Arabidopsis thaliana: one gene and its partners. The protein of the gene in region 1 interacts with the protein of each later gene in a pairwise test. Each region holds a gene or a part of one and is shown in the gene's direction. Other genes may lie near its edges.

Region 1 (4,334 bases):
CTGGATAAAGAATTATTTTAAAGAAGAAAATCTCTCTGATAAATAAATTATTCGATTTGCTTCTTTTTTTTTTATGTATGGGAGATATTTTAAATGTATGTGACAGGGACATAGACACTCTTTGGTTGAGAAGATATGAACAACTCATTTAGTCACGTGTTGAATATGTACAGGCCAAAATACTGTATTTTAAACAATTGGAATTATTGTTTTACTTGTCAAGTGATCACTTTGTTCAACCCAATTCCCCAACTAATTTATTGTTTTATAGTGTCACACTGTCACGAGTAACTAAGCAGGTTCGTGGTCTCGGCCCAATTAAAAGGCCAATCAATTAAACTAAATGCAAGTGCCTATAACTCGACCTATGAAGCCCACTATCTTAGCGATTCGGCCCAAAAAGACAACTTGCCTTGTGTAAAATGATTTCACTTTGTATCCATCCAATGATTCCAATTAATGAGAAGTTATGTTCAGATTTAAGAATTCCAGTTAGTGAACAAAAAATCAACTACTGGAATTTGTTTTGCTTCTTATAAATTTGGTTAGAAAAACAAAACATAAGGTTTATATCTATAAACACAAAGAAATTGTACTAATGTACAGTTCCGAAACGAGTATAGTCAATTATTAAAAGTTAAAATAGTGAAACAAATAATTGCTCCATGAATGACATATTGACATCATTATCTGTTTCTTTGAGATAAGCTAATTTAGGAACTTGTCTCAATCCTGTAAAATGATTTGGACCCTACCTATTTTATTCATCTGTCTTTCTTTGCGTTCACAATTTGATCTTAATATATAAATATATAGTACATGATTGCACTAATATATATATATATATATATATATATATATATTATATGTAGTATAACTATACACGTATGAAGTTGAATTTTATAAAATAAAATTTTCTTTTAACTGAATTTCCAATAGTTGTTTATACATAATTTAGAAAGTTGCAACCATAAAATATATTTCACCATAAAACAACAAAATATGGTTTCCACGTACACATACACATAACACATACCTACTGAATATTCCGTAATTTACGATGCCTGATAATTTGGACCTAATAAAGTTAGTTAAGAGTAAACAGAATTACAAGGAAATTTTAAATTGAGTTTAAGAAAACTAGTAATTGATTTGGAATGCTAGTTATCAAACAAAAGGACAAATATATTTTTCGGATTATTTTTAATAACTTTTTTGTTTGTCACGAAACGACAAAAGCTTTGTCATAAAAACCAAATCCTATCAACTTGCTCAAAAAGCTTCAATAATATCGTACGTGTCCTGCACACGCAGATTCATAAATGTGTTTCTATGCTTTTACAATTTTAGCCTTATGCATAACAGCATAAGGTCTTAATGGTCCTCTCTCCTAATCAAAATTACATTCAAAAGTTGTTGTATAGTTTTTCATTATATTTTCAATAATTCATTTATTTTGTGCCTATGTTAAAACATTTTCATAATTCATTTATAATATTATTTAAATTTAAATGTTAAATATCTGTTCTGCGTTGGCTACTCCTGAATGCAAACAACATTGCAAAAGTATTTAGTTGTGTTTTTAATGCCTAATCACATTAATAGATACTAGATCTAAGGGAAATAGACTTTATGAAAAAATCAATTGACGTTAGGTAAAAATTTGTTTAGACTATTTTTGTCTACCAGCAGACAACTCTGACTAAATTTTTAATCTTATTTACTGCAACTAACTATTAATAAACTAATAAAATCCTAATTTACAATATAGATCTACAGTAAATGAATATAAAAGTCTGGTAGTACCGTAAATAGTACATCAAGATAAGGGTATAATAGTAAACAACCATCGTACTCGCTTCATCTTTTATTTTACTCTAAAATCTCTTTCTGAAGAAAACAACAAAGCAAAGCGTTGAAGAGAGAAGAAGAAGCAAAGATATAACCCCCAAAAGTATCAATTAGTTTCCATTTTCGCCGCTAAGATTCTGTTTTCGAACATTTACACCCTCAAGAATCGCCGCCATGTGTGGAGGAGCTATAATATCCGATTTCATTCCACCGCCGAGGTCTCGCCGTGTTACTAGCGAGTTTATTTGGCCGGATCTGAAGAAGAATTTGAAAGGATCGAAGAAAAGCTCGAAGAATCGTTCGAATTTCTTCGATTTTGACGCTGAGTTCGAAGCTGATTTCCAAGGTTTCAAAGATGATTCGTCTATCGATTGCGATGATGATTTCGACGTCGGTGATGTTTTCGCCGATGTGAAACCATTCGTTTTCACTTCGACTCCAAAACCCGCCGTCTCCGCCGCTGCGGAAGGTAAATATTTAGGGATTGACTTTAGTTTGAGCGATTGAATTGGTTAGAAATTAAGTTTCGATTCTATTTAGCTCTGTTCATAGATACCTTTATCTGCTTACGATTTTGATTGTTGTATAAAGCATGAGGTTTGATTTGTGTGATATTTATATGCATATGAGGTTGAGTGATGAGACTTGATTTGTGTGATGAGATTTGATTAGAGATTGTTGATGAGTTATTTATAGAAGAACTCTTTTGTTTTGTTGTTGTTTCACTACTAGGTTCAGTTTTTGGTAAGAAAGTTACTGGCTTGGATGGGGACGCTGAGAAATCTGCAAATAGGAAGAGGAAGAATCAGTACCGAGGGATTAGGCAACGTCCTTGGGGAAAATGGGCTGCTGAGATACGTGATCCAAGGGAAGGTGCTAGAATCTGGCTTGGAACGTTCAAGACAGCTGAGGAAGCTGCTAGAGCTTACGATGCTGCAGCGCGGAGAATCCGTGGATCTAAAGCTAAGGTGAATTTCCCTGAAGAAAACATGAAGGCTAATTCTCAGAAACGCTCTGTGAAGGCTAATCTTCAGAAACCAGTGGCTAAACCTAACCCTAACCCAAGTCCAGCTTTGGTTCAGAACTCGAACATCTCCTTTGAAAATATGTGTTTCATGGAGGAGAAACACCAAGTGAGCAACAACAACAACAACCAGTTTGGGATGACAAACTCCGTTGATGCTGGATGTAATGGGTATCAGTATTTCAGCTCTGACCAGGGTAGTAATTCTTTCGATTGTTCGGAGTTTGGTTGGAGCGATCAAGCTCCGATAACTCCCGACATCTCTTCTGCGGTTATCAACAACAACAACTCAGCTCTGTTCTTTGAGGAAGCCAATCCAGCTAAGAAGCTCAAGTCTATGGATTTCGAGACACCTTACAACAACACTGAATGGGACGCTTCACTGGATTTCCTCAACGAAGATGCTGTAACGACTCAGGACAATGGTGCAAACCCTATGGACCTATGGAGTATTGATGAAATTCATTCCATGATTGGAGGAGTCTTCTGAAGAGATCCAGTTTCATGTAAATAAGGCTGCATGTTTGTGAGTTTCCCGCATCGTTCGTTTATCAACCTCCAAAACTTTCTAATGTCTGTTACTTGCATCTTCTTCTGCTGTCTCTGTCTGTCTCTCTCAGGAGTTCCTGTTTGCATTGCGAGAAGCCATGAGCCTCTATCTTGAGGGTAGTTGTGATGAAGTTAAGTAGAGGCTTATTTTTAGGGGTTGTGGTAGTTTTTGTTTTAGTGAATCTTTTGAATTCGTTTGTGTTTTGTTTTTGTTACTTTATGCCCCAAAACTCCTTTAACATTTGTCATAATGTGTTTGAACCTCTCATCTGTTTAATCAAATAAATCTTCTTTGTATGCTACTAAGAGTATGTGAGAACTGTTGAACATAACAAAGAAGTCACAAGCTAAGTTTGAACCAAACCGGTTCTCGTAAATTTGTGATCAGAAAAAAAGCGGTGATCAACTGATCATCAAAGTGATTGCCTAGAGAAGTGCGCCACTTTTGTTATTTTGTGGTACAATGAATCTAGAGGGAACAAACGTTGAAACGACGACGTTAAACGACAGAAGAATCTCTAAAGGTTGAACTCTCTTTTTGCAAGTGGTAACTGGTGAGTTTGTGTCTTTCTCGTGACCGTTTCCTTATGATAACAGAAAATAAAAGAGAGTAAATTAACTCTTCTGGACAGTTCTGCTTCTTTAGGTCATTTTCACTCTGTATAAATATCTAAGCATTAGCACACATTCTTTATTTTTTACTGAAACATATTTATATGTATTTGGTAATTTAATCTACTGATTTTTCATATAAATTGTTGTTAGTTACCGTATTACTGTCAAAATGTAGCCCAAAATGTAAGTGTCAAGGTGCTTTGAGTTGTGTGATGACAAGTTTGACATAACATTTGGTTTCTCCTATTATTGTGAAGAAATGAAATTATCTTATGGTGATACTTGCATTAATATT
Region 2 (4,827 bases), on another chromosome or scaffold:
ACCCCAAATACGCTTCCATGACTGCACTATGTCATTACTCATTTCAGAAGAATTCTGTGCCTGGCTGTTTATGAAAACTGAAACAGTTTATATTTATTGTCTTTGATTATTACTTTTTCATGCAAGATAATGGGTTGTGGGATTCACTTTTGTAGATGCATAGTGTCGGTTTTGTTGACCCGGATGACATGAATGTTGTTTCTGGTAGACGTAAGTACTCAAGCCTTATAGGATACTCAAGCAGCAAGCTTGCCCAGGTGAGCTTACAGTAATGACATCTGCCGTAGTTTTCATCTGCCGTAGTTTCCATTTTCTGAAAGAGGCTTATTTTCAGAAACTGGTGAGTTAAGTCTCGCTCTCTGATCTTCCATCTTCCAGATTATGTTTAGTAGCATTCTTTTCAAAAAGCTTCCTCTGGAAACAGGAGTCAGCGTCGTATGTCTATCCCCTGGTGTTGTCCTAACAAATGTTGTGAGTATTAGCTTCACTTCATTTCGTTACAAGTGCAGGATTCCTCTGTTTTCTCAGAAATTCATTGCGTTGAACTGCCTATTTCTTTCCGAAATTTACAGGCCAGGGATCTATCCAGGATTCTTCAAGCTCTTTACGCAGTGATACCTTATTTCATATTTTCACCCCAAGAAGGTTGTAGAAGTTCTCTATTCTCGGCCACAGATCCTCAGATTCCAGAGTACTGGGAAACACTAAAAAACGATGATTGGCCTGTTTGCCCATTCATCTCTCAAGATTGCCGCCCTGCAAATCCTTCCGAAGAAGCACACAACACAGAAACTGCACAGAGAGTGTGGAAAAAGACGTTAGAGCTGGTGGGTCTTCCTCTCGATGCAGTTGAGAAGCTCATAGAAGGGGAAAATATCCAATGCCGGTATGGAGCACAACACGAATAGTCTTTCAAAATTACCACAGGTTAAGTGACCCATTACAGATCAAAGGGTAGGTAATTGAGAAAATATCTTTTTTTTTTGTTTCCTTGTATTAATCTACACGATACAGTGGGGAATGAATCCCCCAGGCATGTAGTTTGCTTGAGAATGTTTGATTGTTGGATAAAAGTCAAGCTTTAGCTACCATTCCATTGCTTTTACTTACAAGTCTTGTTCAAGTATTTGGTTAGTGTGTCTTGGAGTTATTAAGATGTTCAGTAGTAGAGTATGGTAGCCTGGGTTGGTGGGTAGTTTCTTGTTTGAGTTTAGGGTATTTTCGTAATTTTCTTTATTGTTTGTGGAGTCACGTTGCTCATATATAGTTATAGGGATATATATCAATTAGAGTCATCATCTCTCTTACTCTCATGGTGACAAAGTCACAAAAGTGATAAACTCTCCTTTCCACTTTCTAATGTTTCTTGCTTAAATGAGTATTCCATGTAAAAATGATTCACTCACTCGTATGGGTGGGTTGGGTTTTCTCTTCATGAGATGCTCATTTGAGCAAGCAATGTTTGGAAGTGGGACTATTTAATATCATGTATGAGTTTTATCTTTTGTTATAAGAAAAAAAGTTGGGATTTCATTTTCGTGCCCACTTCACGTGAATCTAATGCCTTCAAGTTTGTGGTCTACCTTATTTTCTCTTATGGATACATGTCAATTTACGTGTCGTATGAGTCAAGCCTTTAATCATCCCAACACCATGCACGTCTTCTAGATTTGTTTTCGACCACGATTCCACCACAAAATTTGACATTGTTATTGAATTCATTAACTTTTTTACGTGTTATTGTGAAATATTTATTTAATTTTGTTGGTAAAAGGAGCAAAAAAGATTAGGGTACAACACGTCGACTTCTTCCCCAATTAGACCCATATGTGATCTGTCGTCACTCGTCGCCAAGTTTTTTTATGTGTCGTCTTTTAAACTTTGATCCAATTCATTAAAAAGTCTTAACGCCCACAACGAAAAGGAACTTCTCTTTTTGTTTGGTGACTGAATCGGTGGAAAACAACACAAGTTTGTTCCTTTTTGTCTCTCCAGATCCCTTGGCTTCCTTCTTCTTCTTCATCCTCCTCGTGAGACTCTGTGTTGAAATTTCTCTAGGGTTTTAATTATCGGCGTTGGTTTTTCGTTTTTGAGAATTTGATTTCGTTTTTAGAAATAATGGGTGATTGGGCTCAACTTGCTCAGTCTGTGATCCTAGGTTTGATTTTCTCTTACCTTCTCGCTAAGCTGATCTCGATCGTCGTCACGTTTAAAGAAGACAATCTCTCTCTTACTCGTCACCCAGAGGAGTCTCAATTGGAAATTAAACCGGAAGGAGTTGACTCGCGACGTCTCGATTCCTCTTGCGGTGGTTTCGGTGGTGAGGCGGATTCGCTTGTGGCGGAGCAGGGTAGCTCCCGAAGTGATAGCGTTGCCGGTGACGACAGTGAGGAAGATGATGATTGGGAAGGCGTCGAGAGCACGGAACTCGATGAGGCTTTTAGCGCCGCCACTCTTTTTGTGACTACCGCCGCCGCAGATCGGCTTTCGCAGAAGGTACCGAGTGATGTGCAGCAGCAGCTTTACGGATTGTATAAGATTGCTACGGAAGGGCCGTGTACTGCTCCTCAGCCATCAGCTCTCAAAATGACTGCTCGTGCCAAGTGGTATCTCTCTCTTTCGTTGAATCTGCTGTGCCATTAACTTCTATGTATCATTTTCTGGTGTTTTTGTTCAACTGTTTGAGATTTGATTTGAGGTGGAAATTTTTGAGGTTTTAGGTTCTTCATAGACAATCACCTAGTTTGCTTCTTAGCTTATGCAACTGCTGGACGATGATGTGGTTTTTACTGTTGTAACAGTTGATTGTATATGGAATTGTGGTTTGTTGTAAGATTGCAATTTCATTGATTGGGATGTGCCATGATCTTGTTCTATCTCAGGCAAGCATGGCAGAAACTGGGAGCTATGCCACCTGAAGAGGCGATGGAGAAGTATATTGAGATTGTCACTCAGCTTTACCCAACTTGGTTAGACGGTGGCGTGGTATAAAGCTTTTTCCCCTTTTCTTTGTTTGATTGCTTCGGTTTCTTCCTCTGGCCTGTTCATGTGAGCTTCACTAACAGAAAGCCGGAAGTCGGGGTGGGGATGATGCAGCCTCCAACTCAAGAGGAACCATGGGACCAGTTTTTAGCTCTTTGGTTTATGATGAGGAGTCCGAAAATGAGTTGTAAGGTTCTCTTCTTGTATTCTCATGTGTTTTATATCCTGATCCTTGCGTTCATGTCTAGATTAGATATAAGTATCCTGATTTGTGAAAGAGGCTCATAAACTCGGTGAATATGTAACATTACTGTCTCGTTCTAGCTGTAGCAAATTTTGATGGTGAAATGGCTACAATTGTCTCATGGAACTTTGAGCTGTTCGTTTCTTCCTGTCTATCTGAATGAAACACTAATCCTCTGCTCATTGAACTTTTGTTTTATCTCTCAGGAAGATTGATGCCATACACGGATTTGCTAGAGAAGGAGAAGTCGAGAATTTACTGAAAAGCATTGAAAGCGGCATTCCTGTAAATGCAAGGGGTTAGTCTCTGCTTGTATATTCCGTTTCTTGGAAGTTCATTCTCGTGATGTTGGATCTGCATTCTAATTTTCCCATAAACTGCAGACAGTGAAGGTCGCACACCATTGCACTGGGCTATAGACCGTGGCCACCTCAACATCGCCAAAGTTCTGGTCGATAAGAACGCCGATGTGAATGCTAAGGTGACGAAAGAGAAATTCCTACCCAGTCATTATCTGCAAAGTTAGCAACTTCTTTATTTATGTGTTTTTGGTTCTTGTGTTGAACAGGACAACGAAGGCCAAACCCCTTTGCATTATGCTGTTGTATGCGACAGAGAAGCTATCGCCGAGTTTCTGGTTAAACAGAACGCAAACACAGCCGCTAAAGATGAGGATGGAAACTCTCCCCTTGATCTCTGTGAATCAGACTGGCCCTGGATCCGAGATTCTGCAAAGCAGGCAGACTAAACAAATACTAACCACGTCTTCTCTAAATCCGCAATGTATATGATCAAATGACTTAGTAAGAAGCTTTTCTTTACTTTAAACTTTCTTTCCATCCCTACCACATCACTGGGATGTTCCAACACTATATCACTTGGATGTTACCAAGTCTTGTTCTTTGATTTCTTTCTTCTTACATTTTAACAATCTTTTGTTCCTTTAGGCTTTATGATATGTCGTAACCGGTTTTGTTGGTTTGCTATAAATACACACATATAGACAGAGGAAGAGTCATTGGATCCTCAACGAATAAATAACCGACTTTGGCGGCAAAAACGGTTGATAGAACATAATTTAATGATTTAAGGAAAGCCCCCAATAAAGCAAATACAAAAACAGAATTAGCAATCTTCGTGGCCCTTTCGTCTTCTCTCCCTACCCCACCTTGGACTACCGGAAAATGGCCAAGGTGGTGGTTTACACGATACTAACCGCCACCATCATCTTCCTCATCCTCCTCGCTCATAAGAAACAAAACCAGACTCAATCCATTGAGGGTCTCATAACCCGCCGCATCGGACGGAGGCTTGAAATGCCGGTGTTTGACCCTTTGGTGACCCGGATTGAGAGGTTGTCTCATGAGAAAGAAGCTGGTACGAAGACCGTGGAGGCTGCGAAAGAGGAGAAAGATGATATGTTTGAGGAGTATTTTGCACAAGAGAGAAGGCTTAACACGACAATGAGGATCAAGTTCTTGTTTCCTCTGCTTGACGCGTCTCCAAGAGATGGCTTTGTGAGCTTGAAAGAGCTTCAGACATGGATGATGCAACAGACAGAAGACAACATGGTTTACAGAACCGCCAAAGAGCTTGAGCTA
Region 3 (4,928 bases), on another chromosome or scaffold:
CTCTTGAATTTACGTGTTAGTTTGATTATATATATATTGGTCATTTTTTTGGTATTTGCTCGATAATAGAGTTGATGGGAAACCTTGATAATATTAAAAATTATCATATGAATTTTGGAGGAAAGACAGCAACACACTCGAGAACTCTCTGGAAAATTGCGTTTTCACTTTTTTTGTTTTCCAGGATTAGTTGATCTAAAATCTATAATATATATTAATAAATACAACCTAATAAACAAAAATTATTTATGTTTCAGTTAATGTAACCCATTAATATAGAAGTAATCTCGTAAATATGGAGTTGATTAAAAATATGTACTTAATCAAATTCATCTATATATATATATATGTGTATATATATATATATATATATATATGAATTATATTACGATCAAATTATCTTAGCTTTTAAAATAAAATTTTTTTATCTTAGCTCTTATTCAAAAGTCTTTATTCCATCACAAGGTTATGTTATCTTTTGTATTTTTATTTTATTTTATACAAGGACTTCCAAGTTCCAACATTTCAATTTCTAAGTACATGCATATCTTATTAAATAGTGATTTAAATACACAAAAATATGAAATAAATTCTAAACAAGGTCCACTCTATAAAAGAAGAAAACCCACAAATTCCAAAGCCCAAATTAAAACACCAAAAGAGCCCAAAATACAAACTCATTCTTCACCACTAAAATATTCCAAAGCAAAGCAACGAACATAACGGATAAGTGTTATCCTCATCTAGTCATCTTCACCCTCTAACTCACCGAGAAAGAAAAGTAAAGAGAGTTTGGTGTCACTATGAACATTGCCATTCATAATTACCGTCACTCAAAATTCATCGTAAATCCTCACATAGACAAGACTTTTGCAAGGACTCGACAGGCAAGATCAAATAATATTACATTCATGACAAGTACTCATGGAAGAAGAAGAACGATGGGACTTTGTTTGGTAAGAGCAAGTGCCGAGACCGGAGAAGAAGAATCCGACGATCAAAACAAGCCTGAGAGAAGAAGTTTCTTGAGCTTAGCAGAAGCTGGTCTAGTCGAAATCTCAGGCCTTGGTGCACACGAGAAGTTTCTCTGTCGACTAACGGTAAATTAAATCATAAATTTATCCCTACATATTATAAACCCTCCAATACCAAATTTTAATTGCAATCTATTAATAAATCTCTTACATTGTTTTGAAATATATTGGTATGGTTAAGATAGGAAATGAAACATTAATTTTACATAGGAAATTGAAACCATATGTAGTTGTGAAACAAAAGAAAATCTTATAACACGTCCTCAAGAAATGAAGTGTGATTAACAGTCTATAGTAAACATATGTACATTAAGTAAATAACTGGAATATCATTTTTCTTAGAAGCATGTACATTGATTTATAGATGTTTCGTATGAACTTCTTCTTATATTTTGGAACTGGATTTGGCAGATATCATCATTGAATTTGCTAAGAGTGATATCAGAGCAAGAAGGATGTTCAATAGAAGAGTTGAATGCTGGCAAAATATGTGATTGGTTCCTTAAGGACAAGCTGAAGAGAGAGCATAACATTGAATCTGCTGTTCTTCAATGGGATGATCCCGATTTTCCTTTTTAAATATCCTTATTTTTTACATTCAAGCCACACAAAAGTATGATCATTAACAAGGTGAATATGTATCGTAAGTCTTAATTAGTCTATTGTGGTCTGACTAGGAAAATATAAACCTTTTGTTAAGTCCTACAATAAAACGTATTCAACAATTCCAAATATTATCCATGACTGAAATACATAAAGAAAAGGTTTAAATTTTATCTAGAAACCAGGAAAAAAGACAACAGTAAACAAACAATTAAAAAAGAAAAGACTTTGAAAGAAAATCCAAAAGTTGTAGAAGAAAAGACTTAAATAAACACAAAGAGAATCCAATACGCTGTCGTTTTTGAGCAAAGTCTCTATCGACTTTTTTCCTTCCGTTAATCAAGCCATCGGATATTAAATAATTACAAAATTATTTTCAGACAAAACACGGACGCGAAATCAACCAATTAAATCCACTTCTCTCTCACCATCTCACGTCCGATCTCTCCTCTCTGAGCTCTCATCACGAGTCAACCCCTTTCTCCGTCGAAATTCGCATGCTTAAACTCTGAGAGAAGAAGATGACTATGACGGAGGAGAAACCAACTTCCGACGGCAAAGGAGGTTGGGGTTTCTTCAAGATTCCATTTCGTAACTCAAGCGGTCACAGAAACGCCGCTTCAAGTGCTGCTACTTCTCCGTTTCCATCTGGAGCTTCTTCTTCTTCTACTTCTTCTCATCTACATAACCATCATCAACATCATCATCAACATCACCATCAGCACCATCATCAGCTTGGTTATAACGGTCCTCACGGTGATGGATCGGGTCAAAATCAACATCCGACTCCTTCTCCTTCAGTTTCATCTGTTGCTAAGTCTTTTCTTCCTACTAAACGAAGATTGAAGCTTGATCCTTCTGAGAAACTCTATTTTCCTTGTGAGCTTTTTTCGAATCTCATTTTGATCGGAGTAGTTTCTCTGGAATTACAGTCTTTTTTTCATTGTCTAGGGTTTGTTTCTGAAGATTTGAGATCCATTGACACTAGTCTAAAATTTCTATCTTTTAGTAGAATTTGAGTATTTGACTGATCTGATTATGTGGATTGATACATAAGTTTGATAATTGACTCAATAGGAAACATAAAGTTTGAAACTTTTTGGAAGTTAAGAGCAGAATCTTGACATTGGATTATAATTCTAACTTACCATTACTCTAAATATGGTCTTCCTTTAAGCATTCTGAAATTAGGAGTCTTTTATAGATACGAATGATTTTAGCTATCAAATGATTTTGCAGGAAGGTTTTGGTGTATACTTAGGCCATGTTTTTTTTTTCTTCATGATTTGGATTTTGGAAGTTTAGTTGTTTTCTGTTACAAGTAATGCTGTGGAGTACTGAATTAGATTATTACTTTGTTTTGAAGATGAGCCTGGGAAGCAAGTTAGGAGTGCTATTAAGATTAAAAATACAAGCAAATCACATGTAGCCTTCAAGGTTTGTTTTTTGATCTAAAGCGTTTTGGTTATTGGGTCTTTGGCATTATTGTATATGAGCTTACTCGTTGCTCTTTCAGTTTCAAACAACTGCGCCGAAGAGTTGCTTTATGCGTCCACCTGGTGCTATTCTTGCTCCTGGAGAGACTATTATTGCTACTGGTATTTGTTTTTTTTGTTTTCTCGCCTCTGTTCTTATTCTTCTTGATGAGGCTATCAGAACAATGGCTTATTCAATGTTTCTCTGATTGAAATGTGCAGTGTTTAAATTTGTTGAGCCTCCTGAGAATAATGAGAAGCCAATGGATCAAAGGAGCAGAGTGAAGTTTAAAATCATGAGCCTGAAGGTGAAAGGTCCAATGGACTATGTGCCTGAGCTGGTATGTTGATCTTCTGATCTTATCTATTAGCTGATCTTTGAACATGAAAACAGTAGTAACATATCCGAATCCAGATAGAACATAAGATATTGACCCATCTCTAAAACATAAGATATCAATGACTAGACTAAGAATGTGTTTTGGTCTGAGTAGAGGTTTCCAGTTACCTTTTAAGGCACAAACATATAACCAAGCATTCCACTGAATGCTGTTTCCATCTAAAAGACATATCGATTGCTTTTGTTTTTGTTTTTTTCTCAGTTCGATGAGCAAAAGGATGATGTCTCTAAGGAGCAAATATTGCGTGTGATTTTCTTGGATCCTGAGCGCTCCAACCCTGTGAGTATCCGAATAATTTTGCTTATGATGACGATTCTATTATTTTACGACCTCCCTCTTTAATAATCTATGTGATAAATGACATAGGCATTGGAAAAACTGAAGCGTCAATTAGCAGAAGCGGATGCAGCGGTGGAGGCACGAAAGAAACCTCCAGAGGAAACAGGTCCAAAGATGATTGGAGAAGGGCTTGTGATCGATGAATGGGTCAGTCTCATTTGCTATCCAGTGTCTCTTCCATTAGATGATTGTGAAAATCTGACATTGTTTTTGTCTTACCTCTAATAAAAACACAGAAGGAGCGTAGAGAGAGATATCTTGCACAGCAACAAGGCGAAGGAGCTGACTCTGTCTGAGAGACTAAAAGAGTTTTCTCAGGACAAAAACAAGTGCGCTTGTGAAGATGAAGAAGAAGGGACCGCTATATTGAATTTATATGCTAACTTCTAGATTCATGATGCAATATATAAGGATCATGCTGGTAAAAAAAAAAGACAATGAAGGAAACTTTTTTCATGTAAAAAAGAAATGTAAACTTGGGTTTGATGATAATGAATTGTTCATGTTAAGGACTAATAAAAACAGAGAAGAAAGTGTACTAAAATCGAAATTTGAGCTCTCCAATTACTAAATCGGTGCTAAATGAACCGGTCGGTCGTTTCTATATTTGATTCGTTCGGTTTATCCTTTAACCGGTCGAACCGAAGCTTCTTTTGTTCGTATGAAGAAAACTAAAATCCAAATCTCTCTCTGGTACACCATGAGAGGAGCTCTGTTCAGAAATGCATCTCTCTGCGCTCGCAGAATCATTCTTTCTTCTAGGATCTCCCCCAATGTTCCCTTTCTCACTCCAATCGCCGCTCCGGCTCCTCCCAAATTCAGATTTTTCAGTTCCGAATCCGGTGAGAACTCGACTACTGCCACTGAGTCTTCGCCGACTGATTCATCCGATAAGAAGGATCTCGTTGTAGAGGATGTCAGCAACAAAGGTAACAGACTCTATCCTCTCTTCAAGCTTGTTTGGTTACCTCACACTTGAAATGGCCTTGTATTAGTTGAAATGTGTGAGTCTAATTCTCATCTCGCCATTTCTGAATGCCTCACAGTTTTCAATTGATCCTTCGATATAAGATTCG
Region 4 (4,919 bases), on another chromosome or scaffold:
GGGTTAGCTGCGGCTGACCAGCTGAACAAAATGGGCCATTTAGTAACCGTGTATGAGCGCTCGGACAGAATTGGTGGGCTGATGATGTATGGAGTACCAAACATGAAGACTGACAAAATTGACGTCGTTCAACGGCGGGTTGATCTTATGACCAAAGAAGGTATCAACTTTGTGGTCAATGCCAATATTGGAAAGGACCCATCTTACTCCCTTGATGGACTTAAGGAAGAGAATGATGCAATCGTTCTTGCTGTTGGTTCCACAAAACCAAGGTAATATTTTGTTTCAAACAATGCTGAATTCCTATTTATGTTACCAGACGTTCAAATGGATTATGGTGAACTAACCGAGACATTATTGGGGTAATTTTGCAGAGATCTTCCAGTGCCTGGTCGTGATCTATCTGGTGTTCACTTTGCCATGGAGTTTCTTCATGCAAACACCAAAAGTTTACTTGACAGCAATCATGAGGATGGCAATTACATTTCTGCAAAAGGGAAAAAGGTTGTTGTTATTGGTGGAGGTGATACCGGCACAGATTGCATCGGAACATCTATCCGCCATGGATGTACCAACATTGTAAACCTAGAACTTCTTCCTCAGCCACCCTCAACAAGAGCTCCTGGAAACCCTTGGCCACAGGTTTGTTTCAGATCTTCTACACTCAATCCTTTTAGCAACTTCTTCAAGATTTTTGCATCCATTGGATTAAAAAGAGTTGTGAGCAAGGTTGGATATTGTTGATTTTAATGAGCTTCCGTGTGAATACAGTGGCCTCGTGTATTCCGTATTGACTACGGACATCAAGAAGCTACCACCAAATTCGGAAAAGACCCTAGGACCTATGAGGTCTTAACGAAGAGGTTCATAGGAGATGACAATGGAAACGTGAAGGGGCTTGAACTTGTGCGTGTGAGTTGGGAGAAGGATGAAACCGGGAGGTTCCAGTTCAAGGAGATCGAAGGCTCTGAGGAAATCATTGAAGCAGACCTCGTTTTCTTGGCCATGGGTTTCCTTGGACCTGAGCCAGTAAGTGATTCCCGTTGTGTACCCTCTTCTTATATATTGTGGGTCTTGTGGCAATGATTTAAAACCAATTGCTTGTTTTTGTTTTTACAGACACTTGCTGAGAAGCTAGGTCTCGAATGTGACAACAGGTCAAACTTTAAGGCCGAGTATGGCCGGTTTTCCACAACCGTGGAAGGTGTTTTCGCAGCAGGTGATTGTCGGAGAGGCCAGTCTTTGGTTGTCTGGGCTATCTCAGAAGGACGTCAAGCTGCAGATCAGGTAGACAAATTCCTCACCAAAACGGATGATGACGAAGACGCCAAGCTACAACAAGACCTTAACCAGATGAAACACAACACTATCACAAACTGAGGTAAAAGAAAGCCTTACTCATCTGAAGCAAAAGTCGAGAGAGAAAGACAACTGATGTTACTCTTTTAGAGGACACACAGGCGTAAAGGACCGACTTATGGCAGAGATGAAGGAAGAGAGTTGCAGAGGAAAAGTACCGAACTTGATGATTTAGTAGAGAGAAGTAAAAGTTTAGGTTTGTTTTTGTTTATTATCGTCCATAAAGTAATAATGATTCATAAGTACATTCTCTTTGTAGGATTTCAGTAGCTTTCTTTTGTTAAAGCTTTCTGAAATTGAAAGCCTTTTGTTTTTTCTCTATGGCTGTTTCTAAGTTTGAATTTTAAGGAATTGTAATGCAGTTCCTGCTTCTTGTTTTTGCCCTCTTTGTGTTCTTTCATATTATTTATGGTGGTGTAAACTGTAAACAATGTTAGGAATCATAAGACTTGCTCAGTAAAATAGTGAAAAAAATGATCTTCAATTACACAGTGAAGATTGAGGTATGTAAAACCGGTATGTAGTTTGTCTCCAACAAATTTCTTCATTTTTTCTCGGTCCCAACCAGTTGGTAGATGAAAAGCGGTCCAATTAACAAACGGATTCGTCAGTTGTCTCTCGTCGCAACCATTCAATCCTACGTGTAATTCCTCAGTTGTCTCTGGTCTTCAACAAAAGACAAGCCCACAAAGAGAAAACAAAAAAAAAGTAAAGAAAAAGAAAATTGTGAAGCGGTGAAAACAAGAGTTCCAAAAAGGTGGCTCCTTTTTGTTTCTGGAGATGCGTTATTGTGACCCTTCTTTGAAATTTAGGGTTCATTTTCTCAGATTTCGAGTTCGTTGTGTTTGAATCTCTATTGGGTTTACTTTCTTATTCGATTTGGGGGAAATGGCTGATTGGTATCAGCTTGCACAGTCTATAATCTTTGGTTTGATCTTCGCTTACCTTCTCGCTAAGCTAATCTCTATCCTCCTCGCTTTTAAAGACGAGAATCTCTCACTCACTCGTAACCACACGACTCAATCGGAGTATGAGAACTTGCGAAAGGTCGAAACTTTAACTGGGATTAGCGGCGAGACTGATTCTCTTATAGCTGAGCAAGGTAGCTTGAGAGGTGATGAAGATGAATCAGATGATGATGATTGGGAAGGTGTCGAAAGTACAGAACTTGATGAGGCATTTAGTGCTGCTACGGCTTTTGTTGCTGCTGCTGCATCGGATAGGCTTTCGCAGAAAGTTTCTAATGAGTTGCAACTTCAGCTTTATGGATTGTATAAAATTGCTACTGAAGGACCTTGTACTGCTCCTCAACCATCAGCTCTTAAAATGACTGCTCGTGCCAAGTGGTTTGTCTAACACTCTTATTGATTCTCTGATTCAAATGTTTGGGACTGTGAAAGATGATTGCTTGATCATGTTTACTTGTGATGTACTGATGTTTCTTGATCATGGATGTATATTATTTTGATTTCACCAAGTTCGTATCTTTCATTGCTAATGTATGGAAAGGATTGCTTTTGTTGGTGTATTGATTAGTGATCTGATTCAAATCTTATGACTGTGAAGATTGTTACTTAATCATGTTTACTTGTGATGTACTGATTATTCTTCATCCTGGATGTATCTTGCTTTGTGTGAGTACCGAAAGGATTTGCTTTTGTTGTTTTGTTGATTGGTAACTTAGGGATGCATTTTGATCGACTGAGATTTGTTATGATCTTTTTTGTTCTAGGCAAGCATGGCAGAAATTGGGTGCTATGCCTCCTGAGGAAGCGATGGAGAAGTATATCGACCTTGTTACTCAGCTTTACCCAGCTTGGGTTGAAGGTGGCTCGGTTAGTTGTCTTCTTACCTGCTTCTGTTATTCCCATTTCTTTGGACTGTTTATGGATGGTCTGTTTTCGTTCTTAAATCTGTCTTTATTTCTTGGCTTGTTTGCTTCGTTGCGGACTATTAGAAACGAAGAAATCGGAGTGGTGAGGCTGCAGGCCCCATGGGACCGGTTTTTAGCTCATTGGTGTACGAAGAGGAATCTGACAATGAGTTGTAAGGTTCCTAAGCAATTAGTTACAGATTCATCTATGAACTTTTGGTTTTCTTTTCTCAGTTTCTCTATATGACTAGCTGACTAGATCAGAGAAGGAATGTATATATCATAATACTCACCTTAGGTAGATCAAAGAATCATGTGTTAGTTTAAATCATAGTAGAAGCTCTGTTCATTCTTGCGTTCTTACTCCATGTTCCAGGAAGATTGACGCCATACACGCCTTTGCTAGAGAAGGAGAAGTCGAGAATCTATTGAAATGCATAGAAAATGGCATACCCGTAAATGCAAGAGGTTAGTAGTCTTGTATCATTTTCACAGAATGTTCGGATCTGGTTTGGAAACTTAACAGTTTCTCCATCTTGGAAATGTCAGATAGTGAAGGTCGAACACCACTGCATTGGGCTATAGACCGTGGCCATCTTAACGTTGCTGAAGCTCTGGTTGATAAGAACGCAGATGTGAATGCTAAAGTAAATAAATAACCAAAACCCCCTAAACTAATTCTTTCTCTCAATTACAGACTTTTATGTTTTTGTCGCTGACAAACTTTGTGCAGGACAATGAAGGCCAAACCTCTCTACACTATGCTGTTGTGTGCGAAAGAGAAGCACTCGCCGAGTTTCTGGTGAAGCAGAAAGCTGATACAACCATTAAAGACGAAGACGGAAACTCGCCTCTTGATCTCTGTGAATCAGAATGGTCTTGGATGCGAGAGAAGAAGGATTCCAATTAGTGTTTTTTAAGTCTTTAAAATTGTGTGTCAAAGCTAGATGCTTGTGTTTTTCTTACATTTCCTCTGAGCCTCTTTGCTTCCTCTTAAGCTTATGTTTTAACATACAACAACACAAGTTACATATGATATAGTAGCTCTAGTTTTTATTGGTTACTATATTGAACCCAGAGAGATCATCATCATCAATCATCATAACTCAATAATAGTTTTTTTTTTGTTAGTATAATGTTTCTCTCTTTCGTTCGTGACCCTTTCATGTTTTTTCAGCCATCTGAATCATTATTATCATACCTGTAAAACAATTTTGTTGATTACTTGTAAAATTTATAAGTATTTTAAATATGATACAAATTGTACCTTCGGAATAAGAAAAGAAAAAAAATCTTCTTCTTCGCATCTCGCTGTAAAACAATCCGGACCGTTGATTAATTAACGATGAGAATATATAAGGTGGGGTTCAGATAAGGACCACCCAACACGCGATGTACGACATAATCACTCCAGATTATATCAATTCTTTAATCAGAAATATATTTTTAGTGTGCAAAAATCATAAAGAAAAATATTTTCCCTTTTTATATATATATTGGGTAATTCAGATTTTTTTCTATTTATGTTTTTATTTGAAAAAAATAAGATACACTGAACAAACAATTATGATTGGAAACAAATTTTCATATTTAGAAGATTTATACAACTTTTTTTTAATTGGGTAATTTTAAAAGATATTTTCCTATATATAGTTTTTATAAAAATATTAGGATACACTGAACAAAA

Evidence for each region.
Region 2: the proteins of RAP2.12 (region 1) and ACBP2 interact in binary tests that used the Arabidopsis thaliana proteins (3 or more experiments, as listed by UniProt).
Region 3: the proteins of RAP2.12 (region 1) and AT4G21450 interact in binary tests that used the Arabidopsis thaliana proteins (3 or more experiments, as listed by UniProt).
Region 4: the proteins of RAP2.12 (region 1) and ACBP1 interact in binary tests that used the Arabidopsis thaliana proteins (3 or more experiments, as listed by UniProt).

What each region holds. Positions count from the first base shown.
Region 1 is NC_003070.9:20,133,217-20,137,550, forward strand, and holds RAP2.12 (uncharacterized protein), read left to right. Parts: upstream 1-1,627; 5' UTR 1,628-2,025; coding exon 2,026-2,320; intron 2,321-2,583; coding exon 2,584-3,365; 3' UTR 3,366-3,797; downstream 3,798-4,334. UniProt on the Arabidopsis thaliana protein: Transcription factor involved in the activation of hypoxic gene expression and in ethylene response. Partially redundant with RAP2-2. Acts as a downstream regulator in the ethylene signaling pathway.
Region 2 is NC_003075.7:13,845,656-13,850,482, forward strand, and holds ACBP2 (acyl-CoA binding protein 2), read left to right. Parts: upstream 1-1,893; 5' UTR 1,894-2,118; coding exon 2,119-2,606; intron 2,607-2,882; coding exon 2,883-2,985; intron 2,986-3,065; coding exon 3,066-3,169; intron 3,170-3,432; coding exon 3,433-3,524; coding exon of another isoform or gene 3,525-3,529; exon of another isoform or gene 3,530-3,609; coding exon 3,610-3,707; intron 3,708-3,794; coding exon 3,795-3,974; 3' UTR 3,975-4,279; downstream 4,280-4,827. Other genes in the region: FEY (NAD(P)-binding Rossmann-fold superfamily protein), read left to right, coding at 156-257, 379-471, 573-908; AT4G27790 (Calcium-binding EF hand family protein), read left to right, coding at 4,411-4,827. UniProt on the Arabidopsis thaliana protein: Binds medium- and long-chain acyl-CoA esters with very high affinity. Can interact in vitro with palmitoyl-CoA, but not with oleoyl-CoA. Binds to lead ions (Pb). May function as an intracellular carrier of acyl-CoA esters.
Region 3 is NC_003075.7:11,423,978-11,428,905, forward strand, and holds AT4G21450 (PapD-like superfamily protein), read left to right. Parts: upstream 1-1,979; 5' UTR 1,980-2,158; coding exon 2,159-2,516; intron 2,517-2,588; coding exon 2,589-2,645; intron 2,646-3,003; coding exon 3,004-3,074; intron 3,075-3,153; coding exon 3,154-3,235; intron 3,236-3,334; coding exon 3,335-3,453; coding exon of another isoform or gene 3,454-3,462; exon of another isoform or gene 3,463-3,714; coding exon 3,715-3,792; intron 3,793-3,879; coding exon 3,880-3,999; intron 4,000-4,088; coding exon 4,089-4,148; 3' UTR 4,149-4,409; downstream 4,410-4,928. Other genes in the region: AT4G21445 (receptor-interacting protein), read left to right, coding at 804-1,100, 1,446-1,613; AT4G21460 (Ribosomal protein S24/S35), read left to right, coding at 4,514-4,781. UniProt on the Arabidopsis thaliana protein: May play a role in vesicle trafficking.
Region 4 is NC_003076.8:21,708,250-21,713,168, forward strand, and holds ACBP1 (acyl-CoA binding protein 1), read left to right. Parts: upstream 1-1,920; 5' UTR 1,921-2,247; coding exon 2,248-2,705; intron 2,706-3,091; coding exon 3,092-3,194; intron 3,195-3,316; coding exon 3,317-3,405; intron 3,406-3,608; coding exon 3,609-3,700; intron 3,701-3,781; coding exon 3,782-3,879; intron 3,880-3,965; coding exon 3,966-4,142; 3' UTR 4,143-4,365; downstream 4,366-4,919. Other genes in the region: GLT1 (NADH-dependent glutamate synthase 1), read left to right, coding at 1-272, 375-642, 772-1,029, 1,120-1,380. UniProt on the Arabidopsis thaliana protein: Binds medium- and long-chain acyl-CoA esters with very high affinity. Can interact in vitro with arachidonyl-CoA, barely with oleoyl-CoA, but not with palmitoyl-CoA.